2 linked regions of the Drosophila melanogaster genome follow. The protein of the gene in region 1 purifies or fractionates together with the protein of each later gene. This does not show direct contact. Each region holds a gene or a part of one and is shown on either strand. Other genes may lie near its edges. The genes, in order: Ski6 and Dis3.

Region 1 (3,466 bases):
GCCCACGGGTCTGGCGGTGGAGGCGCAATCGGAACGCTCCCAGCTCAAAAACCGGGAGCTAGCGATGAAGCGTCTACGGTCGCGACTTGTGCAACAGCAGTTGGAGAGCGTTGAGGCTAGCAAAATGGCCACCAAGAAGGCGCAACAGGGTAGTCTCAATCGCAATGAGAAGATCCGTACCTACAATTTCGTCCAGGACCGCATAACGGATCATCGAATTCAAGGCGGTACGCTGCACAACCTCAATGGTTTCCTCAAGGGCGGCGACCAACTGAGTGGACTAATAGAGAAGTTGCAACTGGAACATCGAAGGGAACGACTAAAGGAGCTCTTGGATAGGTGGGAGCCACCAAAAGAAGCTATTGAGAAAAACTAGAGCTACTTTCGTTTGTTACTACATTTATACGCCTGTGTTTTAGAGGATAATTGTGCTTTTGCAACAGAAATTATATTAAAAGAGAGCAAGGGCAGCCATCTGAATACAATGTTAAAGACACTATTTAATTTGTAAATGTTGGTTCCTTTTTATTATAATTGTTGCCCTTCAATTGTAAAAAACGACAAGATTGGAATAGAAAAGATTACTTTATTTCAACCAACTTTCGCAAAGTCAGAGGCACTGCCCATGTGCAGAAGGTGCTCCTTGACTGCTGCCTCCAGAATGTCCCTTATTTCGCGGCAACCCGCCATAGCAGTCTCGATGACGGTTTCCAAGTGATCGATGTGGAACCGCTCACTCATCTCAAGAAAGGCGATTTTCTCGGCGGTAGGCAAGGCAGCCACGGTTAGTTTCGGTCCGCCGGATACCTCCTCGAACTGAGAGATGTCTGTGAGCGGGATGTTCGATTTGCTCAGTGAGGCGGTGCAGGCGACAATGAACTCATTGAGGCAGATTCCCGCATCAATTAGCGCCAGTGTGGCGGCATTAAGAGCCACCGCATAGTTGGCGCCGTCGTCTTGGAGCACCTCCACGTATATGTCTATCTGGGAGCGGGGATATAGTTCTGATTTAATGGCAGCACTTAGCGCCTGCTGCAGGTACAACTTGAACTCCAGAGATTTGCGATCGCCGCGCGGCCTATTTTTGCGCTCCGCCGTGGAGAAGGTTGCCTGACTGTACTGACAGTTGATGACGGACTCTGTCTGATTGCCCTTGGCCTGGTGGGGTCCATAGACGGCAGCCAGAACCTTGGTGTTTCCCTGCTCCATGTAGGCACTTCCATCGGGCTGCTCGAAGACTCCCAGTTTGCACTTGATGCGGCGCAATTCATGAGGACGTCGTCCGTCCAGACGGAGGCCCTGCTCACTGAGCAGATCGTATTTACCAGACATATTTTGAAACTTTAGAAATACAATTATTTTGATTTTAACTAAATATCACACGTGCGGCGGGATTTGTTTACAATTTTAACAACAGTGTGGAAGTACTAAAAATACCGACAGTCCATGAAAAAATCCTTTTTATACTAACTTCTTTTAATATGTACACCGTACGTATGTAAGAGTAAATAAATAATTAAGCATATATTGCCAAAGTGTACTACATTAAATCACGATATATAGAAATTTAATAAGGATTTTAATAAGATTCTTTAAATTTAAATTTGAACAGTGTTTGCTTTGATTACCCCTACTACAACATTTTGGAATTTAACAACACTAACACATGGTCTAATCGATATCCGATAACCGAATACCGATAATCGTTCAGGATTTGTGGTAACTCTAAAATATATAAATAGTTTCGAGTGCAAAAAACGGAATTTATGGGAATAAAATAAATAAATAGTAGCTGAATCGTGTAAGAATCTGTGCTTGCCAGCACCAGAAATACGCAAAATGTCCAAGTCAAGCGCAGGTGGGTTTATAACATCGTGAAAACGAAACAAACTGAACAGACGCTTCCGGGTGCGAAACAAAAATAAAGACCTAAAAAATATCACACACTTTAAAAATAATGAACTCACCACCGAAAATTACAGCACGCTGGGTAAAATTCTTCAATGCGGCCGGCATCCCATCTCCTGCGGCTGCCGGCTATGCCCACGTCTTCGTGGAGAACCGCATCCAGGACGACATGCTGTTGGATCTTAACAAGGAGTATCTCCGGGAAATGGGCATAACCTTGATGGGCGATATAATCGCCATCCTGCGGCACTCAAAGACCGTCTGCGAACAGAATGCCCGGGAACAGGTCCTCACAACGGAGGTGGTTCAATCAGTTGTCCGACCGGTATCGCCAAAACCCAAAGCGCCGGTTGCAACTCCAAAAGCAAAGGTTTATCCGCCTGCGAAACCTGCAAGACGGGTGCTTCCGGAGCACGAGGGCAAGTACAAGGTGACACTGCCCTCGGGAACCACCGAGCGCAGCAAACAGATCTTAGCCAAGCGGGAAAAATGTAAGATTACAGATTTCTAAAGAACAAGATCAAATTTTCAATATATCTTCTTTTAGTATACTCCGATCGTGTGAGCAGCTCCAAAAAGTCGGACATATTTACGCGCCTGCATGCCGAGGACGAGGCGCAGGAGGGCATTGTCTCCAGTTCGGGCGAGAGCAGCGTCCGCGTGCACGTTGCCGGCGCATCAAAAACAGCGGCCACCTCCAGCAATAATTCGGTCTTCGCTCGACTCGGTGGCAAGCAGGGCGCTCTTCCGGAGGAGTTCACTTCGACCAGGGAAATCAAATCGATCCTTAAAAACACACACCGTACAGTTGGTGGTGGAGGAGGAGGAGGAGGGGTCACCAAGAACTCGCCCATTGTGAAAGCGAAGAAGGTGGCCGCTGTAACGCAGCAAAAGGTCATGCTAGTTCACAAAGTGCCTCTTAAAAAAGGCGACGACGACGATGATAGCATGGACGATTTCGAAAGTGACGAAGAGGATTACATGTCCAGCGGAGAAGATTTTGATATGGGAGCCGGCGAAAAGATTGTTAAGTTCGCCTCGACAGCGGAGGTTCGGGAAATCGTTCCCGAATCGGCATACAAAAATAGGCAGGGCAAAAGTTTTGCGAATAATATTAAATCAAGGCTCGGAATGGGTATGTTTGCTTCAGAGCAGAAGTGGCACAGTCAATTAATTTATAACATTTTTTTTAGTATCCAAACTTCATGCCACGAAGAAGACATACAACCTAAAGGCATCGCCTGCAAGGAAACCACAGGCTCGACTCAGTCCTGTTAAGGGCAAGACCATACGCATGCGCAGCGACGAGCTGTTTAGCCGACAGGACACGGTGCCCGTCCACAGGAGGCTTGGAAAAACCGCGACCTCCGCTCCCCTTAGAGCTCCACCAGCTCCGCCACATCGACAGCCGCGACCGGAGCCACAGAAGAAATATGTTCCGCCAAGGCGCCATAACAGCATGAATGCTGGTCACAGCAGGCAGCGAGATCAATCTGGCTCTGTTTTTGACCGCCTTGGCTTCAATAACTCTATGTAAAGTTTAAGTAAATGTGAGCCT
Region 2 (6,600 bases), on another chromosome or scaffold:
CCCACATACCACTTGGTGAATGGCGGATTACTGTTGTCCAGTACCTTCTCCCATGGCCGATCCCAGTCGAGCAGGTTACCCTGCTCCTCCCAAAATGCAGCCGGATTCTGAACACTCTGGCGATAGGCCTTCAAGTAGAGAGGATCGTGAGCCTCCACCGGCATGCCGCATACAGATTCACCTGCGGAAAAGGTATAGCAGCAGGTGACCATTAGATGGGCGGGTTCATTGTTTCCTCTATTGGGTTAATCGCTGCTTTTAATTAGGCTATCAAACTAAATTACAAACCTTCCACTCCATACCACCTTACACACACCAGGCACATTGAATTTTAAATTTTCCAAATGTCGCGGTCACTCAACTGATTTCTATATACCCAACCTGGCACCCATGTACTGCACATATGCGTCGGGTGTGCGGCTCACCCAGACGCCGAGCATAATCCACACGTGATTGGCGATGGATATTGGACCTAAAAGCCTCCTTGTTGAATAAGCTAATCGAATTCATTAATATTTAGTGCCGACAGTTTGGGCGCACAACTAAACACTAATTAATCACTTCAAAGTCGCATCGAAAGTTCATTATTTTAATTGGCGAGCAGTGGTTTAAAACACAATATTTATCACCTTGAACTCTTGTGCATAAATTATCTATCTATCTACATCGCACTGCAAGAATCCAAGAATATTGTAAAAAGTTGGACTCCACTTAGATAGTTTTTGGAAAATTCGAAAATCTATAGAATTCATTTAGATCACAACGAAAGTTGGCATATTAGTTTTCCAAGCACTTTATTTGATGTTCTAAAAGTTGTTTATTTTAACTGATGTTTTCAATATGCGTATTAAAATATGTGTACCGATATAAATATATGTTCCGCAAAAATCACGCGATTACTCATTGATTAAATTTTTTAGCCTTTTCATATGAATTTCGAAACCTTTTTCGACTTACTGCCTTCGTAGTTCACTGCACTAGGACCGGGTTCCATTGTAACTTTGTATAACTTCCGTTCTTGTATATATTCAAGTCAAGTTAATGTATATATGTATTTATTATATATATTCTTTTTGAATTTTTTGGATCAAACGAGCTCAGCACAACCGTCGCACTGTAGTCGAAACTTTGCAATGGGTCTGGAGAATGTAGAACGCAAGTTGGAAACCAAAACCTTAAACAAAACACCCGATCAAAGGTATGCTTTCGAAACTCTCCGAGATCGGCAGAGCCGGAACGGTGGAAAAGGTTTACGAAACGGAGCGGAATTTAAAAACCTTACATTTTATTTATACGAAATGATTGTAGTTACACATCTTCAGCGTAGTCTAGTTCCACATAAGCAAAGATCCAAAGAATTACTTCTTTTTCTTATCCTTCTTTGTCTTTTTCGATGGAGGTGCCGCAGAAACCGCTTGGCTATCAGTTCCTTCGGTGGTCGTTTCCACGCTGAAGCCCTTGATGTACGGCTTGACCAGCCGGAAGATCAGCTTCTCGTGCTGCACATTGCTGGAATCCAGGCTAAGACGAACCGTGACTGGATCAAAGGAGTGGAACACCACGTCACCGCAACGCTGTGTATGATCCTCTTCGTTGAAGGTGAAGACAATCTCGCTCTTGACGCGCTCCACACCGTCCTTGCCATCCTTGTCCGACTTTAGATACAAAGTGCCTTCCAGGCCATACTTGGGGATTAGCACTTGCAGAGCATTCTTGCGCACAAATAGCACATATCTAGGGATGGGTAATAATTGAAAAGAATGTTGCCCACTAGTGGTTTCTTCGACTCACCCTTCCTCATCCTCCTCCTTGCCGCGGAAAAAGAGATGCGTGTTGAGGGCCACTGATGCGCGACCAGCGTACTGAGCCATTTTGTGGCGGTAGTTAAGATTATGACACAGCTCCTCATTTGACTTTCGGTCCAATAGCTGGGCATAGGTGCTATCCGCGCCGATTGAGGCGGCCAGCAGGCGATGTACCATAATGTCGGAGTAACGACGAATGGGCGACGTAAAGTGCGTGTAGATGGGAGCAGCCAGACCGTAGTGGAAGAACTCCTCCTTCTGCAGACTGCCGCTGATGAAGTACACTGCCTGCATCATACAGCGTGTGGTGAGGATGCGGATCATTGTGTTAAAGTACGGATTATCCGCCTTGACACACTTGTCCAGTGAATGCGACAGCTCCAGTCCCGAATTGATGTCCACCTGGAAGCCCTGGTAGCGCGCAGACTTTACCAGCGGATCGAAATTGGTAGGCGGTGGCCGAGGATGGCGACGCAGAACAGCGCACTCGGAGAACTCCGTTGCGATATGCTCGGCCACCGTGATGTTGGCCAGCAACATGAACTCCTCCACCATGGAATTCGTCTCGCGCATCTGCTTCACCTCCACCTCGAGTGGTTCGTGTGTCTCGCTGTCCACCTGGAAGCGGATCTCCGGGGAGGCAAGGACAAGGGCTCTGTAAATTATGGATGCCTTAGTTCACTTGATTACGAGGTGTTAATATAATCTTACCCATTATCCATTCGTCGCTTTTTCAGTATTTTGGCCAACCGATTAAGATTTCTCAGGGACTTGGCTATTTCATTCTGTTGCGTGGCATCGTCGATGATATTCTGCGCTTCCTCGTAGGTCATGGCACGCTTCGATTTGATGACGCTCTTGTGGAAGCGTTTGCTTAACACATTTGCTTCATTGTCCACTTCCCACACGCAGGAGAAGGCGAATCGCTCAACACCGCCAACCAATGAGCAGAGATTTGAGCTGAGTAACTCGGGTACCATGTCGATTCGTTTGCCCACCAAGTACACGGTGGTTCCCCTGGCCGCTGCCTCCATGTCCAGTGCGTTTCCTGGACGAATAAAGTGACTTACGTCGGCTATGTGAACGCCCACTTCCAGATTGCCGTTCGGTAGTTCCTTGCAGTGCAAAGCATCATCGATATCCGTGCAGCCCGGGGGATCCACAGAGCAAATGTACAGATCCCTCAGATCCACACGCTTGGAATAGTCCTCGTCAGTAATTGTCCAGGGCATTTTCGGCAAGAAGCTAAGCACTTCGTCCGAGAACTTGCAGTGCGGGACGTCGTGCTCCAGCAGGATAACCTCGTTCTCGGTGGCCATGTCTCCGAGCGGTCCCAGGGAGCGCACAAAATGTCCATGTGGGTAGCGCGAGTTGCGCGGCCATGTGTCAATCGTTACGATGATGCGCTGGTTCTGCAGCATTGCTGCCTGTCGCGTTTCGATACGGATGCGCGGAATCTTACGGTCGGCGGGCACAAAGATGTGCCGATTTGTATCCTCTATTAAGCTAGGCTGCAGGATGCCGCAATACTGTCGCCATTTCCGTCGCACAATACCGACAATTCGCCCTGTGGGCGTGCGCTCTGCGGATAAGGCAGCGGCACGCACCTGATTCAACATCTCATTTTCATCCTTGGCCCTTTCCTCGCTGGGCACTTCATCGGCATAGACATTCTTCTCCTCCAGTACAATTTCACTGGGTGCTGACCACTCCGCCTCGGGCAAAAGCTCCACGGCCACCAGGTCGCCATCCACGGCCCGATTAAGAGACTCGCGTCCTTGGATAAGGATCTATTAAACAGAAATCGTATTGTGAAGCGTATGCCAGGGAAGATATTTAGCGTTTTAACTTACCCCCTTTTCGAATTTCTCTACATTGACGGTGCCCTCCAAGTAGTTTTCCCTGGATGCCTGAAAAGTGCCCTGTAGTAGCTTATTTTGGCGCAGTCCTTCCAGCAGCTCCTTCATGCTGAGATGCGGCGGGTACTGGGGCAGACCATTCTTCTCGCTGTCGAATGTTTTGTGCGACAGCTTATCCATCAGAAGTGGAAAATCCTCGAGAGATTTCACGTACTCCGCTGCTGTGGTCACCAGAATACCTTCTGCTTCGGCCTTAGCACGATTGGCAGCATCATCTGTGAGCAGAACAACTCGCGTAGCAGCTTTGCCACTGCGCTCGAACTCTTTAGAGGATTGCGAGGCCTGCAGGTGATCATCGTACCACTTGGTGGCCAGACGAATGGCCCGATCATTGCGATCATTGGCGGTCTCATCTGGTTCGCGATCAGCATAGGTTTCCCTAGAAGAAGCACTATATTATAAAGGTTTCCCAAGAAAATCCATTAACCCACTTGTGGTGCTCGTTGACGAACACATAGAAGTTCCTGGTGCGGTCGTGGACGATCTCATTGAATCGCTTGTAAATGGCGGAGCTCCTGTGCTTCACCTCGTTGAGCACGGTGGTCAGAACGACTACGTTGCGCAAAACATCCTCCTCCAGCACGTCGATCTGGTCCAGAACCACATTTGTGTCCAAAACGAGATAGTGCGGGAATTTGAAGAGGGTGCTCTTATTCGCGTGCTGCGAGGTGAGCTGGTATACCTCGTTTTGGAAACACTCCCGGCACAGCTCGGAGCCGCAGCCGATGTCGTCGCGCAGATAGTGCTCCCGTACAATCTTCAGAATGTTGCCGCGCTTGGTTTTACGCGTAAATTCGCGTAAAGTTTGCATTTTGTTGAACCGCGTTCGAATTGTTACACCTTCACATGTGTGCCGGAATAGGGAGGCCCGTGCATGATTCGACTGCGGTATTATCTGCCTAAGGCCTGTTCACACTGCAGCCGCAATGGTCACAGTGGTTTGAGTCTACGGACTGCCCCGTATCTTAAGGTATAATTTAGTACCATTTATTGAACTGATTTTCTATATCGGCGCTTAGCACGTGTAGAACGCACGTTGCTCAAATTTTGTTATTTAAAACGCTAAATTACACAGCTCCCGGATGGTGCCGAACGAGAAAAGCTTTCCCCGAGGCGGGACAATCCACAGCGAAGTCAAAACCGACGACGTGAGCCTGAATATCGTGAGTTTAGCCAGCGAAATATCCGAGATCTTTGTACATACTTTTCTGTCCCACAGGTTTTCGGTGCCTCGCAGAAGAAGGTGAAGAAGGCGCCGAAAGTAAAAGAGAACCTTCTGAGCTACGAAACCGAGGAACAAAATGGCCAACTGGAGGCCTTCTCCGCGGAAACGCTCAATATGGACACGCTGCAGGAGGACATGCTGGTCATGGGAGTGGTCAAGGAGTTGACAGCCACCGCACTGCAGATCGCTTTGCCCGGTCGGATGTTCGCCCGCACCTTGGTGGCGGATATATCCGACGCCTACACCCGTGTGGCCAAGGCGGCCATGTCCGGAGACACCAGCGAGTACCACGACCTTACCGAGCTCTTCCAGTTGGGCCGCATCGTCTACGGCAAGGCCATCAAAACAGAAAAGCTGGACACCGGTCGGGTTAGCCTGCTCCTTTCCCTCAAGCCGGCCGATGTGCACGGTAATCTGCATCACAAGAGCATTAAGAAGGGTTTCATCTTCTCTGGCGCCGTGGCGGAGGCTCTGGAGCACGGCTATGTCATCGAGTCGGGAGTACAAGGACTTCAGGCATTCGTGCCATGCGAGAAGCCAGCTCAGAAGCTACACGTGGGGCAGTTGGCTTTCCTAAAAGTCAAAACCGTTCATCACGACACCCACCAGAGCACCTGCACCTGTGTCCAGGTGGAGCAGGACCAGCTGCGCATCAAGAGTCAAAACGAGACGAATCTCGACTACATTCTGCCAGGCAGCATTGTAAAGTTTAAGGTGGCCAAGCATCTGAAGGATGGCCTCAAAGGCAGCATCATGAATGAATCCTTTAGTGCCTACGTCAACGAACATCATCTAGCTAACGCTTTGGATACTTTGGATGCCTACGAGCTGAATGAGGATTACAATGCCAGGGTACTCTACGTGATGCCCCTAACCAAACTAGTGTACTTAACTCTTAATCTGGATATCAAAACTGGAGCTGCAGTAGCAAAAGATCAGGATGAGGAAGAGCAGGAGGTAGAGCCCATAAAGGTGGGTTCCGTGGTGGAAAAAGCCAAGGTTCTGCGCTTGGGCAGCGGTGGCGTGGTACTGCTTCTTAATAAGAAACTAAAGGGCATTATCTCATACGGTTCAATCAGAGGCAATTTCAAGGGAAATTATGACAAGGACGAAGTATTGTCCAAATACGGAAGAAAAACGAAGCATAAGGTTCGCATCCTAGGATACGATGTCATCGAATCCTTGTACTACTGCTCCGATGATCCCAACGTGGTCAACGAAAAGCTGTTCTGCCTGGAGGATATTAATGCCGGCGATCTGGTCACAGCGAAAATATTCAAGAAGGATGACAAGATCAAGGGCTGGTCGGTGAGGATCGGCAAGGTCAACGGAATACTGGAACAGTTCTATCTGGCACCCAATGTCCGCTACGATGTGGGTCAGTCGTTGAAGTGCCGCGTCCTAGAAGTTAATGCCGAGCGAAAAATCTGCTACGTGAGCAATCGTGCCGAGTATTTGGGCAAGGGAATTAAAATTCTGACTGATTATGCGTCCGCTCACGTTGGAAACGTCTATATGGGCACAGTAGTCCGATGTGAGGACACTTACGTCCTAGTGAAGTTCGGCAACGGCATCAAAGGAGTTTTGCACAGGCAGAATCTAAAGGAAAATAGCTCATTTTTCGAGGGACAAACAACTAAGTTCCGCATCC

The links.
Region 2: the proteins of Ski6 (region 1) and Dis3 purify together in Drosophila melanogaster (affinity purification with western blotting; 2 studies listed by BioGRID, with this or other methods). This does not show direct contact.

Annotation. Positions count from the first base shown.
Region 1 is NT_033779.5:13,220,890-13,224,355, forward strand, and holds Ski6 (Ski6), read right to left. Parts: upstream 1,541-3,466; 5' UTR 1,472-1,540; intron 1,419-1,471; exon of another isoform or gene 1,342-1,418; 5' UTR 1,333-1,341; coding exon 592-1,332; 3' UTR 508-591; downstream 1-507. Other genes in the region: mRF1 (mitochondrial translation release factor 1), read left to right, coding at 1-376; CG16812 (uncharacterized protein), read left to right, coding at 1,840-1,858, 1,983-2,399, 2,456-3,043, 3,102-3,445.
Region 2 is NT_033777.3:24,331,428-24,338,027, reverse strand, and holds Dis3 (Dis3), read right to left. Parts: upstream 4,596-6,600; 5' UTR 4,536-4,595; coding exon 4,156-4,535; intron 4,104-4,155; coding exon 3,659-4,103; intron 3,596-3,658; coding exon 2,517-3,595; intron 2,461-2,516; coding exon 1,792-2,460; intron 1,735-1,791; coding exon 1,359-1,734; 3' UTR 995-1,358; coding exon of another isoform or gene 958-994; 3' UTR 780-957; downstream 1-779. Other genes in the region: CG6432 (uncharacterized protein), read right to left, coding at 1-181, 958-994; Rrp5 (ribosomal RNA processing 5), read left to right, coding at 4,807-4,887, 4,944-6,600.